2 linked regions of the Drosophila melanogaster genome follow. The protein of the gene in region 2 binds, or shares a complex with, the protein of the main gene of each other region. Each region holds a gene or a part of one and is shown on either strand. Other genes may lie near its edges.

The links.
Region 1: Mettl3 (region 2) and vir share a complex: the UniProt entries of both Drosophila melanogaster proteins name them as parts of the WMM complex.

What each region holds. Positions count from the first base shown.
Region 1 is NT_033778.4:23,358,832-23,368,167, reverse strand, and holds vir (virilizer), read left to right. Parts: upstream 1-1,812; 5' UTR 1,813-1,913; coding exon 1,914-1,979; intron 1,980-2,044; coding exon 2,045-2,721; intron 2,722-2,780; coding exon 2,781-5,668; intron 5,669-5,721; coding exon 5,722-6,418; intron 6,419-6,474; coding exon 6,475-7,536; intron 7,537-7,600; coding exon 7,601-7,775; 3' UTR 7,776-7,945; downstream 7,946-9,336. Other genes in the region: Ice1 (uncharacterized protein), read right to left, coding at 1-1,064; Mthfs (methenyltetrahydrofolate synthetase), read right to left, coding at 7,946-8,178, 8,243-8,498, 8,572-8,688; CG34423 (uncharacterized protein), read right to left, coding at 9,068-9,136, 9,197-9,335. UniProt on the Drosophila melanogaster protein: Associated component of the WMM complex, a complex that mediates N6-methyladenosine (m6A) methylation of mRNAs, a modification that plays a role in the efficiency of mRNA splicing and is required for sex determination.
Region 2 is NT_033777.3:24,027,448-24,034,834, reverse strand, and holds Mettl3 (methyltransferase like 3), read right to left. Parts: upstream 2,679-7,387; 5' UTR 2,639-2,678; coding exon 2,500-2,638; intron 2,438-2,499; coding exon 2,144-2,437; intron 2,076-2,143; coding exon 682-2,075; 3' UTR 578-681; downstream 1-577. Other genes in the region: KrT95D (krueppel target at 95D), read left to right, coding at 4,067-4,341. UniProt on the Drosophila melanogaster protein: Catalytic component of the WMM complex, a complex that mediates N6-methyladenosine (m6A) methylation of mRNAs, a modification that plays a role in the efficiency of mRNA splicing and is required for sex determination.

The DNA.
Region 1 (9,336 bases), on a different chromosome or scaffold from region 2:
CTGGAGGATCTGGCCTCCTCCTTTACACTATCCAGCATTGTTCGTGAGGGCGGCCTCGAGGCGGACACCTTTATTTGTGTCGGCAGGTCGGTAACGAAATCAATCTCGCGGTGTATATCACACAAAGTGGTACAGGTGGCCACACTCGCATTGGTCGGTACGTCCTCGAGCTGCAACTCCTGCTGCAGATCGCTCAGCGGACTCATGGGCTCAATTACGACATCATCTCGCCACGATAGCATTTCATCAAGTATCTGCCGAATATTTGGCAGGGGCTTTGGTTCGGGAAAGCATGTGCCCACATCGTGGTGCTTGATGAAGGAGGCTGTAGTGGTTCCCCGGGTGGTGGTGGTGTTCTTGTGTTGCGTGGCCTGGTTGCGCGTCTCTATCAGACCTTCCACTTGCACAGCAACAGAGCAAAGCGCGGGCTTGGGATCAGCGGGTTCCTCGTCGGTTTGCGTAGATTGGTTGACTCCGGGCTGATGGGCTTTCCGTTTGCTACGTGAATTCGGGCTCTTTGGCGTGGGCACGCTTACGTCTATAGTCTTGCAGTGCTCCCTTAGCTTCTTCATGATGTTCTGATCCCGCCGCAAAAGTCCACAATCGTCGCCCAGCCGCTGGGAGAACTGCATGAGTATGGACAGCACATCCTTGGCTTCCACGGGTAGTCCCCGCACTTGCAGCTGCTCCTGCAGATTCTCGCAGTTCCCAACCTGTACGTCCAGCTCCTTTTCCAGCTGTCCGCATCGCTCGCCGATCTGCTTGGTGCGCTTCTCCAGCTCGATCCTCTGTTGCTTCTCCTTCTGGTACAGATCCGTCACCTCTTGGGCGGTGCGCTGCAGGTCGGCCAGCTGTTTGTTTTGAGCCTGCAGCTGTTTCACCTGGCGGATCAGCTCGTCGTTCTGGGCTATTCGCTCGGCCAGCCGGCTTCGCTTGGCGTACACATCTTGGTTGCTCCTGGGCAGCGACACCTGCTTATACGGCGCCACCAGAGCATCTTGCAGCGGTGCGCTTGGGCCCAGAAGCTGATCTATATTGAAGTCGGAGAACTCGTCCAAATTCATGTTGCGCAGACTTGTTGTTGCTGGATTTCACGTGGTTGCGTGTTCAAGCGCCACTGCGGTTCTAGAACTTGCAGAAAACAAGGAGAATCCTCATTTTCCACACAATTCGCTAGTCGGTCACGAGTTGGACAATATTAAGCTGCGCATCTGGCGATTTAATACACAAAACAGAGAAATAAAACAAAATCCGCGTTTTTCTCTGCAGCCGGTCTCCAAAACATTTCCCTTATCGACAACCCAGCACGAGCCTATCGATATATATGGTATGGGACTATTTTATGGAACTCTTATAGGTCGTTCTCACTACTTCGTTTTTGATAGTTCACACTTTATTTATAATAAGAGGTTCGAATTATAGTTTGATAATATTGTAGAGGAAGTAAATTTTGAATTACTGATAATAACTAAATTTACATGATTTGCGTGCGTCCATTGAAGGGAAACAAATGTACTCTGAATCAGTGCGATTCCCTGCGTTAGGTTTAAGCCTATGGTTTTTAGGGCTATTTTACAATCTTTTAGAAAACATTGAGAGCATCATTACCAAAAATGGGGAATATTGAGAAAAAATCCAATTCATTTCTAGACATGAGCCAATTGTGACGTTAAAATTTGATGCATTGTTTTGCGCAAGCTACTAGACTGAGACAATTTTTGTTTAGTTTTTAAAGATGTATTCAACATATTCTAAAGCATACCCTCTTGAATACCCCTACCAATTGTAGTAGAGCAATTGATGATATCGATCACTTATCGTCTTAAGTTCCATCCCTAGCAGTTGCGGAAAATAAATAAAACTTCCGGACTGTAGAAGATTTTACTGAAAAAGACTCGATTTAAGCACACAACATGGCCGACGTAGACGACGGGTCCGAGCTGCTGTTCTTCGACACTTTCTCGCATGAGGAAGTGACGGTAAGTGCCTCCAGAAGCCCCCACTCGGTGCATTCGCTGAACCCCACTTCCTCCTCTCCTCATAGGACATCAATTTGGATTTGGTGCAGTTTCCCAAGCCGGTCTTCATCACACAGGTGCGGATCATTCCTCTCGGCGCCCGAGTCCAGGCAGACTTTCCCGGCGGCGTTCGCCTGGGCGCCACCAACCCCTCCAAGTTCGACCTGGAGTTCTTCGTCAATGACCTGGGAATGCCGGCTGCGTCGGCATTCGAGAACCTCGGCCTGCTGCGTTACAACCAGAACGACTGCATTCACTTGGATTGCTCGCAGGAGAAGATCGTCACCGACGGTCTGGTGCTGCGCGGCTGGTACAGCACCATCACACTGGCCATCTACGGCATTTTCACCAACTCGGTGACCGAGCCAATCGCCAGTCCAACGCTGCCCTGCGAGCCCGTGGGCCCGGAGATAGCCAACCTGAGTGGCGAGGTGCTCCTCCAGGAGGATGTGCTGAAAGACGAGTGGCAGGAGCCGATGCAGGCCGAACTGCTGACCGCTCACAAAGGAAATGTCAGCGATTACGATCCGGAGGACATGGAGTATGGAATGTCGCGGGATCATTACCACCAGCATGCCGAGGAGCAGGAGCAGCGAGAGATGCGACGACTGCGTCGGTCCACGCATTCCACGGATCACTCACCGCCACCGCCCAGAAGATCGCACACGCATTCGGAGAGCAACGACAGGGAGTACATCAGGTGGTAAGTGGTTATCTGTTTTATTTATTATATTCAGACTTATCACAGACCTTTCATTGCAGTTCCCGCGACAAGGGCTCCAGGGATTGGTCGCGTTCACCGGAGTATTCCAGCCATCGGTCACGTCGCAAGCGCTCCGAGAGATCTCGCTCCGTTGTGGACGAGCACAAGTGGCCCAGAACCCCGCCCGCGTCGATAGACTCACCGACACGTCCGCGTTCGCCAGACACGATGGACTACGAGGACGAGGACTCGCGCTCCCACTACAAGATGCAGTCATCTCACTACCGGCACTCCTCCGAGTCGCTGCACCGTGGTGAACGGGATCGGGACGATGAGGACCGATCGTGCACGCCGCAAGAGCAGTTTGAGCCCATTCTCAGTGACGACGAGATCATCGGCGACGACGAGGAGGACGACGCAGTGGATGCGGCTGCCATTGCGGAGTACGAGCGGGAGTTGGAGGCTGCTGCTGCCGCTGCTCCTCCGGCCATCGATGCTTTCGAGCCGTGGCAGAAGCCACTGTTGGTCTTTGAAGGGGACATGGCAGCCCACTTCTGCAAGGAGCTGGAAACTCTGAAGCTGCTCTTTAAGAAGCTGGTCCTGCAAACCCGCTGTGAGAATGTTAATGCCTTCAGCGAGGAACATGGCGCTAGTGTGGACGAAAGGGAGCAATTTGTGTACTTGGGTGAACAACTGAACAACCAATTGGGTTACCTAGCCCAGCACTACAAGCGGAGGAACTTTGTCCTGCAGCAGTTCTTCGGAAACGATGAGCTACATCTGCGACAGGCGGCTAACGTGCTGCAGATTGCCCTGAGTTTCCAGGCGGCATGCATGCAACCACAGCCAGCTTTTAAGATCCGCCACATCAAGCTGGGTGCGCGAATGGCTGAACTTCTGGGCAGTAGCGAAGAGCTCTTCCAGCACTTGTTGAAAGAGCACAAATTCGATATCTTTGAGGCGGTGTTCCGGCTGTACCACGAACCGTACATGGCTCTGTCCATCAAGCTTCAGCTCCTCAAGGCCGTCTACGCCCTGCTGGACACCAGGATGGGTATCGAACACTTTATGGGAGCGAAGAACAACGGCTATCAGATGATTGTTGAAGCCATCAAGACAGCCAAGCTGACCAGGACGAAGTACGCACTGCAGGCGATTATAAAGAAGCTGCATTTGTGGGAAGGCCTGGAGAGTGTACAGATCTGGTGCCGTCGTCTCTTCGTGGACCGAATAATCATACCTGGTAATCGCGATCAAATGGAGGACACAGTGATAACTTGCCAGCAGATAGAGTTTGCCTTCGAGATGCTGATGGATGCACTGTTCTCCAGCCAGTTGAGCTACTTGCAGCCGCGTCGCTTTCTGCCCGTGTCCAAGAAATTCGAGGTGGTGACCGATCCCACGGCGCAGCGCAGTTTCGGAAATGCCCTGCAGTCCTACTTGGGACAGAACTCACTGGCGGAATCCCTGCTGGTCATGTTGGCAAACTGCAAGGAGTTGCCGGCCACGACGTATCTAAGCATGCTAGACTTGATGCACACCCTTTTGCGCTCGCATGTCGGCATTGATTACTTCGTGGATGATGCTTTTCCTGTAACGCAGACGATTGTGGCCATACTGCTGGGCCTGGACGAGGTTCCTCGAAACCCGGAGGAAAAAGAGGAGAAGGCAGAGAAGTCGGATGCAGAGGACAAGGCAATGGAGGTCGAAAATGAAGCTGTGGAAGCTGGAGGCGAGAAGCCAACTCCACCGACGGCCGACGAGGAGGGGAAGCCAGTTGCGGCCCCGATTTCCGTTCCAGCTCCAGCTGCTGCTCCTCAAGTGCGACCCAGGCCGATCCTGCGCCCAGTACTGCCACGCCTGGCCAGGTTGGGCATCGAAATGTCGTACAAGGTGCAGACGCGTTACCACCTGGACGCCATTGCTTACGCTGCCGCGGCTCCCGAATACGATGCCGTCAAGTTGGCCACGCATATGCATGCCATTTACTCGCAAACCTGCGATCCGGCTGGGCGGCAGCACACCGTGGAGGTGCTGGGCTTGAATAACAATCTTAAGATCTTCATGGATCTGATCAAGAAGGAGCAGCGTCTGCAGACGCAACGCCAGCTGAGTTCGCCGGGCACGAAGTACAAGAGTCCGGTATTGAGCTATGCCGTGGACATGGTGGACGCCTGCGTCCGCTACTGCGAGCAGTTGGACTACCTTATCGAGCACGGAGGTGTGATCCTGGAGCTGGCCAAGAACCACGAGACCTTCGAGCCCTCGGTGTCGGCCGTCCTGCAGGAGATGTACGTGTACATGAAACCCTTAGAGGCCATCAATGTGTTCGTATACGATGACATTATGCCGCTGGTGGAGGTGATAGGACGCTCCCTGGATTACCTAACCACTTTTCCCGGAGATCTGATAATGGCCATGCGGATTTTGCGCTATCTCTCCATAAGCAAGCCGCTGGCAGGTCAGAAAGCTCCTCCAGTGACCGAGGAGCTCAAACATAGGTTCGTGGCCCTGCAGCTGTACGCGGCGGATGGTGTCCAACTTTGCATCCAGATCATGGAGCGACTATGCGCCTACTTCGAGCAGCCGGGTGCGCACGCTCCCGCCCTGATGACCATCCAGGGAGTGCATTGCTGCCAGATCATGCTGCCAACGCTACAGATCCTCCGCGAGCTGCTCTCCTACGCGATTCTGTGCAGAGACGGCACCTACAAGGACCTCACAGCCATCGATCACCTGGTGAAAGTGTACTACCTGCTCTACTACTTCCCCACGCGCTGCCAGGCGGGACCCGAGGTGGAGCAGTGCAAGATGGAGGTGGTCCAGACCCTGCTCGCCTACACCCAGCCGAACGAACAAGACGAGGAGTCGCTGCACAAGTCCCTTTGGACCCTGATGATCAGAGAGGTGCTTAAGAATGTCGATGGTCCCGCGCACTTCATTCCTGGTAAGCTAGACTTTGCAAGAGATCTGATCCATCTAATGATTCCTTCCGTACAGGACTGAAACTTTTGGCGGAGCTGCTTCCACTGCCGCTGCCTATGCCCCAGCCGCTATGCGACCAGTTGCAGCAGCAGCACAAGCAGCGTCTGATTACCGAGCGGAAACTGTGGTCCGCCCACTTGCATCCCCAGAGCGGTCAGATCGCCAAGCTGGTGGAGGCACTGGCTCCGTCCAGTTTTCCGCAGCTGTCCGAACTACTGCAGCGAGTGTGCATGCAACTGTCCGACCTGGCGCCCAACATGACGCTGCTGATCGCCAAGACGATCACGGAACTGCTGTGCAATGAGTACCAGACATCCAACTGTATTCCGACCACCAACCTGGAACGGCTGCTTCGTTTCTCCACTCGCTTGTGCGCTTTTGCCCCTTTGAAGAGCTCCATGCTGTCCATACTCTCCGGAAAGTTCTGGGAACTCTTCCAGTCGCTGCTGGCACTGAACGAGTTTAACGACGTGGTTTCCAACTGCCAGGAGGCCGTTCACCGCATTCTGGACAGTTTCCTAGACTCGGGCATTTCGCTGATTTCGCACAAGAGCACGGCTTCGCCCGCTTTGAATCTGGCTGCCGCACTGCCACCCAAGGAGCTCATTCCGCGAATCATCGATGCGGTCTTCAGTAACCTGACAAGCGTGGAGGTCACGCATGGCATATCGATTCTAGCGGTGCGCAATCTGGTCATCCTCACGGAGCACGAGTAAGTTCTGAATATCACTCGCACGCTTTTAATATTAATATTATCTATACCGCCAGCTTCACTTTCTACCATCTGGCGCAGTTGTTGAAGCAAAAGATCACCGAGTTCCAGGCGTGGATGGAGCGCGTGATCCTTCACAACGAAACGGTGGAGTACAATGCCAACATCGAATCTCTGATCCTGCTGCTGCGCTCTCTGACCCAAATAGAACCGCCGCCCGCCATGTCGGCCATGCCACACCGCACTCTGAAACTGGGCGCCACAGAGTTGGCTCAGCTGGTTGAGTTCCAGGACATTGAGCTGGCCAAGCCACCGGTGCTGAGCCGCATTCTCACCGTCATGGAGAAGCATAAGGCAGTGGCCAATGAGGCGGCGCTGAGCGACCTCAAGCAGCTGATCCTGCTGCAGGCCTCTAAGCAGGAGATTCTCGCCGGAACCAGTACGGAGACGCCACCAGAGGCGGAGGGCGAAGCCAATCCATCTGCCAGCAGCTGCAGTGCATCTCTGACCGTGGAGCCCTATCTGCCACAGGCCGAGGGCATTGTCACACAGTACGAGGCGCGTCCGATCTTCACGCGATTCTGCGCCACCGCCGAGAATGCCCAACTAACGGCGCGCTACTGGCTGGACCCGCTGCCCATCGAACTGATCGAGGACATGAACGAGCCGATCTACGAGCGCATTGCCTGCGATCTCACGGATTTGGCCAACGTGTGCCTCAATCCGGACTTGAATGTGGCTGGCGATAGCAAGCGGGTCATGAACTTATCCGGCTCGCCCCAATCCAATCGGGAGATGACGCCCACGGCGCCTTGTTTCCGCACGCGCCGTGTGGAAGTTGAGCCCGCGACTGGTCGACCCGAAAAGAAGATGTTTGTGTCGTCGGTAAGGGGTCGTGGTTTTGCTCGGCCACCACCTTCCAGGGGCGATTTGTTCCGCTCCCGGCCGCCCAACACCTCGCGACCGCCATCGCTGCACGTGGACGACTTCCTGGCCTTGGAAACTTGTGGCGCCCAGCCCACAGGACCCACCGGCTACAACAAGATACCCTCAATGCTGAGAGGCTCCCGGGTGGGTCGCAACCGAGGATCTCGAATCTCGGCAGCAGCTGCCTTTAGGTAAAGTGTCACGATTACCACTTAGCAGGATAACGCTAATGGGCTCTTTTTACTCTTTTAACAGGCAAAAGAAGATGATGCGCATTGGTTCGCCCTCCAGCTGGGCAGAGTCCCCCGGATCGTATCGGTCTGCCTCGGACTCCCACTTCAGTAGCAGCGACTCGCACTATTCGTCGCCCCACTACAGTGGACGGCCGCGTGGACGAGGCCTGCGTTCCAGGCCATCCTACCTGAGATAGGAGGACATTGCAGCCCAACCCGCTTCTCACTGACACTTCCCGTAAACTCGGCAAACGAACCAGAACTAGATCCTAAGATGCCCGCTGGGCAGCTGAATTCCAATACTTAATAGTGTGTGTTGCTTTCGTATTAGTTCGCTTTACTTCCCACTTTGTATGTAAGCCAAAAGTTAGTTTTCCGTAATTACACTGTGCAAACGGACGTCGTGCGACTCCATGGGCAACTCCTCGTTGCTGACTATCTGCTCGTTGAGCGACAGTGCCATCAGCGAGATCTTCTTGTGCGGATACTTCTCCGCGTGCTGCTTGAGGAACTTGTCGTAGTAGCCCATGCCATGGCCCATCCGAGCTCCGCAGCGGGTGAAGGCCACACCGGGCACAATGAAGAGATCGATGCCGTGCCCTGTGGTGATCGAGTGTGTGTGTGTGGGTTTAGAAGGAGCTCTGATGTATGCCTAGCCACTCACCGTTGGTCATGGCATCCTCGCGTGCCTCCTTGAAGTCCGGCTGCTTTATGTTCCACTTGGTCAGAGGCAGGCTCTCGTACTCCTCCATGCCGCGCAGCCGCACCATCTTCATCCTGCTGCCCTCGTAGGTGGGCACAAAGACCATCTTCTCCAGGCGGAACATCTCCGACAGCAGCGCCGTGGTGTCCAGCTCCGAGGCTGTGCTCAGGTAAATGCTCACCCGCTGCGCCTGCCGGAAGATCTCGCTTTGCAGCACCTGTGCGATCGAGCCGATTAGGGGGATTGGGAATTAACTTGATAACCTTGGGGCCCAGCCAAACCAATGTTACCTTAGCCGTGACGGCCTGCGACTGCCGGGCGATGGCCTCCGCGTCGATGCCCTTCAGTGCATCCTTCATGCGCTTTCGCAGCGCCACCTTCAGGGTGTTCTGGATCGTGGCCGCCATTCCTGCCGCTGGATCATCTACTGCACACTCGAGCGAACCGGTGCGAACTGTTTCCATCTGCCTGCGCGGTCCATGCGTCTTTAGGTCGCCACTCCGCCGCCCGTTATCAGCTGCGCTTACACTGACGCTTATCTGTCGGCTGTTCCGCTTTGCAGCGCTGTTCGTAAACAAATGGAAGTGGAGCGGTCTGGGGAAAGTTTAGGCTTGCAGTTTGGGTGAGCCGCGGGGCGATCAGCTGATCAGGGATGGGAGTTATCCAATACACAACCAGTTGTAAATTAAACAAAATATATTTGGAGTACCATTCCCATTAAATACAATTCAGACAATCCAGCCTAACCATAGTTAAGCTAGTGGAGTTCAAAGCTCCTGGTTGGGCTCACTTCTTGGGAGCCTCTGGTGCCTTAGGCTCCGTCTTGGTCTTCAGGTTCTTCAGTTGCTCCTTTTGCTGCAGGGAAACATGGAATCTTTACCTCGTGTACAGTCTGGTGTAGTAGAAAGAGCTCACCTGCTTGTAGAAGAACTCCTCCTCGCGAGCAGCCTCCATTTTGCCAAATGAACCGCCCGCCTCCCGGATGGATCCGCCGCCGCCGCCGCCGTTGCCGGCTCCACTGCCCAGTTCTCCGATCTGCGACATCTTCAAGTGCC
Region 2 (7,387 bases):
TTTGACAAATTCATGTATCTTATTAATTATTTAATTGCTTGGTACTGTAAATCCAAATTTATTGTTACGAAAACTAAAGCAAACTATGAACGGACACATGCCGATGCTCTCATTCCTGACTTGTAAATACACTCATCAAGTACACTAGCAGGAATTGGGCTGGAGCAGTGGCCAGTCGAGCACATTGTGTACGCTGCATTTCTAATCGTATATTAACTTACATAAACCATGTTCTCTCTGATAAGTCAAATAAGCTATTGTTACCAGCATATTCGAGTAACGAAACAACCAATATCGTGCATAGCTGATAGTGATATGTACACGTACTGCGTTCTATATAAACCAATATATACGACATCTAGAGAATCACCGGGTTCGGTGATATCGCACTTTTGTAAATACGCGCAAATCCCCTAGTATGAGCAATAAACCTATCTATATGTGTGGATTAACATATAGTGATATTTAATGGCATTTGATGTTTAAGTCATTTCAATTCCCAAAAGGGCAAATTTAACTTTAGTCTGCATGATGGACTTGCCTTCATTCATTATTAAATGTTCCACATAAGCCATTTCGGTTTGTAAAAGCTTTAATAATAATTTATCTTACTATAATTGAGTCTGTACACAGCTCTGGCTTGTCGAGGTCTCAATTCATACAGCAAATACTATTTTAATCCTACTTTTGTATTCCATTGATCGACGCCGCATTGGCAGAAGCTGGCGACATGCAGTTACCATCTGGATAACGCTTCTGGAACTGCGTAATTAGCTCCGGATCCACCAGTCGAATGCCATCCAGTTGGTTTCCCAGGGTTATCCAGTTCGGTTGGATGTTGTGCGGACGCCCAAAGAGCTCGATCTTGCGAGTACCCGGGCTTAGACGCTCGATAATACCATAAATCTCATCCGGCTTGTGAGAGGTGGCCCGCACCTCCGCAACGATCACATCGCAATCGAGTCCGCGGTTCAGGTTTGTGGGATTGCCTTTCATGCCCACCAAACAGTGCTCCTTGCCGTGGTTTAGCCAATGACCAGTGCGCCCAGTGCGAATAATTCGCTGCAGTTGGTTGGTCTTTACCCAGATGAGTTCGTCCACGCGCTCATAGCCCCACAACTTGAGGCAGTCGCGGCCAAGTTCCATGGCTCGTCCAGTGACCCACAGAAAGATCAAGCCGTCATCCTGAAGTGCCGGCACGCCCAGTGCTCTCATTTCATCGTCCGACATTGTGCCGTAGGGCAATTCCATGTGGATATCCCAGGGAGGATCGGCCATCACCACAGCGAACTTTCCCAGGACCGTCATGTCCAAGAAGCGTAGGTCGCATTGAATCCATTGCGGCGGATAGAGCGTGCAACTGGAGTCTACGCTGCGCTTGAGGCTCAATTTGGTTTTCACATCCGTGGGCTTGTTTGTGTTTATATGCGGCAGGGTGTCCACCTCATAGTGCACGTACTTGCAGGTGGCCATGTGGAAGCAGGTGTTTAGGAAACTGCAGTCCCCCAGAGATTCGTCCGTGTGAGCCTGGATGATCTTTTTGAAATGCAGTTTGGTGCACTTGTCTGTTGTCTCACTGCTGCAGGTATCGCTGCCATCGGTGGATTCCTGCGACTCGGCTTCGCAATTGTTTATAACCTCCGCAATGATTTCTCCATCCTCGGCTGCCGATTCTGTCTTGGGTACCTTACCGGTGACGTTTTCGCCCGCATCAACATCCGGGCGAAGCTCCTTTTCGTCTCTTCTTTCTTGTTTCTTTTTGGCCGCCATCTCGGCGGTGGCTTGTTGAGCCTTCAGGCACTCGACTTTTGTGCCGTGGGAGCAAAACTCCATGACCTGCGCTCCGCCGTGGGACTTAAACTTCTCAGCCACGGATCGCTCTTTGGCCGTAGGCTTAGTAAGCAGCTCAAGAATCTCCTCGCCCACCTGCTTACTCTGTTTTTCGCGGGTGGAAGGCATGGATAGCAGCATCATAATATCGTCCGGAGCATCCAGGCTTGTGGACTCTTTCCGCGCTACAGTGGACTCCAGTTTTATTGTCTTCTCCTGTGGCTGATCAACATCGTCGACTTCCACTGTAAAATCAACAGCAAATTATTATAATTATTAGACTTATGAGAGTAGTAATTTCTGTGAGACCCACACTTTCTCTTGGCCTCCTCCTCCTTTTGCTGACACGTATCGTTGGTGTCTTCCAGGATCTCCTTCAGCTCCTTGGGCTGCACAGAGATGATTTCGCAGCCGGCCTCGGTGCCGATGGTCACGTTCCGGATCACAATTGCACCCTGGTTGGCCAGTTTGCCTAGAATAAAGTTCACCATCTCCAGGCTGCTGCCGGCAATCTTTTCCACCACCTGTGTGGAGACAATGGGCAGGGCCAGGGAGCAGGAACTGAGGGCCTGCAGCACCTCCTTCTGTACTTCCAAGTCAGCCTCAACTGGAAATGCAAAAATATATTCATTTTTGTGGCTCCAACTTGTTGCCATTGCCGGTGCTCACCGAGTTCCTTTTTGGGATTCGTCAGATCCTCCTGAATGTCCGAGAGAATCTCAATGCGCTCCTTCTTGCGCTTTTCCAGCTTCTCGCGGAGCGTGTTCCGCTTTGTCTTGAGTGATTTTATGTCCCACGCATCTGCCATTGTTTATAAAACGCTGCCGGCCTTTGGTAAACAATGAAATTTTTTTTACAAAGGCTCGCAGTGTGACCGTGTTCACATTGCAGGTAAACACGTTACATTAAAATACTAAACTAAGGTAATCTACTTATACATTTTACACAAGTAAATTTTAAATTACCATCAAGAACGTTAAAAGGGCCAGTGTTGGAAGTAGGCTGGTATTCAAAATTAAAATTAAAAAACGTTGAAAGTATTAACATTGCTGTGCCCCCATTATATTTCTTATTCTAATTTGTATGATCTATTGGACCACACACAGTTATTTATTGATTGGTATATACGATTTTACCCGCACCGCCCAGTTGATATTTTCAAGGAATCCGCTCTGGCCACACTGCTCCGCTCCCCATCGCAAAAAGCGGAAGCTGCAACATAGCTGCTCCGCAACATTTTGCCAAATAAAACGTGCCGAAACGCATAAATATTTGATGAAAACCGCTCCAATCGTAAATAATAACCCAATCAGTTTAACCTGTGATCGACTCGCGATAAAAACGCGCGCGAGTGCTGAAGAGAAATAGAGCGAGTGCCGCCTTTTGCCTGCTCCCCGAAATTCGTGGCGTTTTCTTTTTTGTTTATGCGCGCAAGAGAGAGCAAAGCATTAAGTGCGCGCACTCAAACACAGTCACACGCGCGTACACAGAAGTGGGGATTTGCGAAAATCTCGTCTATGTGTGTGTGTGCACATAGCATTTGCACACATTGTTATTGTTGGGTCGTGATACAGAGAGGGTGACAGAGAGAGAAGAGAGAGCGAGAGTGAGGCAGCTGAACTGGGGCCAGATTTATAACGCGACATTCGCACTTTTACTCTGGAGCATGACGGTTCGTTCGCGGCACTTTCGACGCGATCCAAAGCTGCAGCACAAGCAGCAGCAGCTTCCGAGTCCGTTCCGAATCCAAATCCGATTCCGAGTCGCTAGCAGCCGAGGAGAAGGAGCTGTCTAATCCGCAACAGATTCCGCAGCGCGTACATACATATTGATTCAGTGCGAGTGCAGTTGCAGCGCGCGCCCCATCACAACAACAAGAAAGAAAGAAAGAACGAAAGAAGAAACCCACACACCCACCAACCACCCCTCGTTTTTCACTGTGTATACTACAGCTCTTCGCTTCTTTTTTTAAGGCGGCGGCACGCCCTTCCCCAACGTGCGTGTATGTCCGTTCGTGCGTGTGTATATGTATGTATTGGCGGGCTAACCAGAAAATCGACAAAAAAAAACTTTCGAAATATTGAATTGTGAAAACTATCAGAAAATCTGAAAATTATGTGCCTGCTCGACGACATATATTCCCCAGTTTGCATCGAAATAATGTGCACCCCAAGTACATAAACAACAGTTAAGAACACAAAAAATACCTTTCGACGGGAACCAGCAAAGAAACAACATGAAGATGGTCGATAAGTCGTCCAAGTTGGTGGATAAATTTGCCGTAATCAGCGGCACCGGCGGCAGCGGCCCTGGAGGCGGTCCGCTCAACCTGCAAAGTGGCGGAGGAGGCGGCGGTTCCGGCGGCGGAGGAGGAGTCTCCGGATCTGGTGGCATATCCGGAACGGCTGGCTTGTCCGCCGGAGCAGGAATGACCACTGGCCAGAAACCGGTGCCCATGAAGCTATTCGCCGCCTGGGAAGTGGACCGAACGCCGCCCAATTGCATCCCAAGGTGAGTGTAAACAAATTTCACTTATGTACATACATACAAAATGCGACGTAGGGACAGTAAAAGCATAGTTTCTTGCCAATTTTTGTTTTGTTTTGGTTAGTTTTGTTTTGCTTTGTCAAAGCAAGACACAAAAATGCCAACTGAGTTAACAAGATTGGTAAATGTTACTTAACTAGTCGGCGATGTAGCTAATTTGTTGTTGAAGCCATCACATTGCCACAAAAGTTAATCAAGATTATTTGTATAGCTTAGCATTGAATACATATAAATTAAAAAAGTATAAATTTTGCCTTGCTTAAATCAGCTTTAACAAAAACAAAACCCTATCATTACTATTCCCTCGAAGTACTGAACTTAAAGGTTATACATCTGATAAAAAGATAATACACAACGTCAGTTTGTTTACAGCTTATTGTTGATTTTCTGCCAATTTGGTTTCGTGCCGCGGTTTTCGTTCGATTGGGTTTTGTTTTGTTCCTATTTTTAGTTAACAAAAGCAGCAACTGCGCTAACTGTTATTTAAAAGGTATTGTTGTTGCCGCTGACAGCGCTGATTTTTATTTATTCGCATCGGCACAAGAAATCGAAAAAGTTTTTAAGTGCATTATGAAAGAGATTGACTTTTAGGAATTAATCGATTTTATGGTTAGCCAAAACCATAAAAGTTTCAAATACGCTGTTCTAAGGAGGTAATTTTAAACTACAATTCCTGGAATACAAAAATTAAAAAAGGTTTACGTTCTTGACCCCTCTAACCAAAAATGTAGTAAAAAACAATGTCGACATTTTTGGACGTGATAGTAAATCTGACCGCAATTAAATCCCAACCTAACCCAACATAATGTTAGAGATATGATGGAAGATTTGAAATTAAAGTAAGGCACATAAAGAATTATGAAATAATGAAGGAAGTAACATGTTATTTATATTGTAACCTAAGATCAAGGGGATATTTATAATGAATGTCAGGCTGAATAATCGCTGTATAATCAAAACAATATTTAAAATATGTTTTATGACACCTACCAATTGTGTATAAATTATAGAATTTATAATTTCGCAATCTCTGTTGATAAGATTCTATCTTTGAATGGCGATCCGCAAATAAACCCGTTTGTTTTGTGGCATTGTTTTGCTTGTTTTCTTCTTTCATTCCACACGTCTTGTGCCATGTCTTTGGCCCAGTAACCCCGAACCCGAGATGAGTAATGCCCCATCTCATCTGGCCGCTACTCTTTGGGGTTCTTCTGGTCTGGCTGATAAGAATTAGCGGCCTATTTGCATGCGGATGAGTCAGACTTTGTCCAATTTGGCTCAGATGTTGACTCTGGACAAAGATTAATCTATAATTGGGGCGGACACCACACTGCGTCGCACAAATTAGAAATTAGCCAAGGCAAGGCGCACTTTTTGTCCGAGTTTAATCGCTTTTGTGTATTTTAAGAGCTCTCAAGGCGATAAACTGGTCAAGTAGACGGGCATTAATATCAAAACAGCCAAAGGCCTTGAACACGCCCATTTTCAAAGAAAGTTTAAGCAAGTAAAGAGTAAAAAAATCTTTTTAAGTTGTCAATCTACAAAATACATGTAAAATGAACTTTTAAACTGAAACAAAATGAATATGATTCGAATGTTTTGTATGTGTATTAAAAACTGAAGTGTTTTACAATTTATCTATTATTTTTCACTGTGTAGAAGGACCATCAGGCGGTTTGGAAAGTATTTACTAAATATTTGATGGCCAAGGCCAAATGTGCTCCTCTCGCCTTCTTTTGGCACCTCACACCCCATTTGGTGGCTCTTTTTTGTCTGTTCGAAAGGTCATAAACCGCTGATGCCGCCTATGTTTTATCTTTGGGATACACTTTTCGAGTTTGGGTTTGAGTTTTCCGTTTTTGTTTTGCTTTGTTTGTTTATAATTATGCGCTCGCTTGGCTGGCTTATAATTAGAAACTGAAGCTAAGCAAGCAAATTTGGAATTTTTCAGTCACCAACTTTGAACTTTTCGCCCGAAAAATGAAGATGGGGTTGAAACTTTCACCAGAGCCCAAAAAAGCCAGTAAAGATGGCATATTTTCCAGTTGGCTAATTAAAAATCTCATTCTGCCTAATTGCAGCCGAAAGTAAATGTAATTTGTAGTTATGTCAGTGCACCATGTGTCGTCACATTTCCTATTTCCCTGTTTCCCTACGACTGCGCAAATTGTATCTTTATGTTGATTTTATCTACGACCGAATGCGGCACGTAGAGCATATCCAGACTTTGATTAGGACTCACGCGGCATTAGCGTAAGTTTTCCTTGCGGTCGCCAGACGTACGTGACCCGTCTGATCCGGCGCATTTGCCTGACGACCCGGCCGATGGCTGGCTGATTCATCCGGATCCGCTTGACCCGTCAGAGCAATCAAATTCAAATCAAATCAGAAAACGGAATAAAGAGGGCAAACACACACACACACACATCTACTTGGTGGCAATGTCAGGGTGTGAAATGCATTCAAGTTCGAGGCGTAGCAAATTATCCTTGGCAAAGTTTGTATCTGTGTATCTCGTTTTAATTTGCCTGATTTGTCTGAGGGTTGCGGAAAAGTTGTGTGCCAATGCTGAAATACAGAAATTGCCGCACTGTTAATTCACTTTCATGGAAGATACGAGTAAATGAAACTTTTTCCATTCTGATTAACAATGCGTCGAAGGGGGAGGTGAATCACCATATCCTTATCTTCTGTTATACGCAGCAATTTACTTAATATTCTCATAAAACTAGAGGGTTTTGCACCGCATTAATTGGATTGGTTCTTCTTGAGGAACTTCTTTCTTTTACTTTTGTAATTGGAATACTTTTCCATACAATTTTCTACGAACAATTTAGATATGACTCGAATTCTTATCTGAGGATCTTGAGAATATTTGACATTTACTGAAAGTAATTGAAACTCCATGAAGGCTAGATTTTATTAGGGATCCGCTATCTTTATCTTTATTAACATACCACATTATTTGGAGTGCCTTTATCAGCAGGACACTTTTTGGGAAACATTTTCC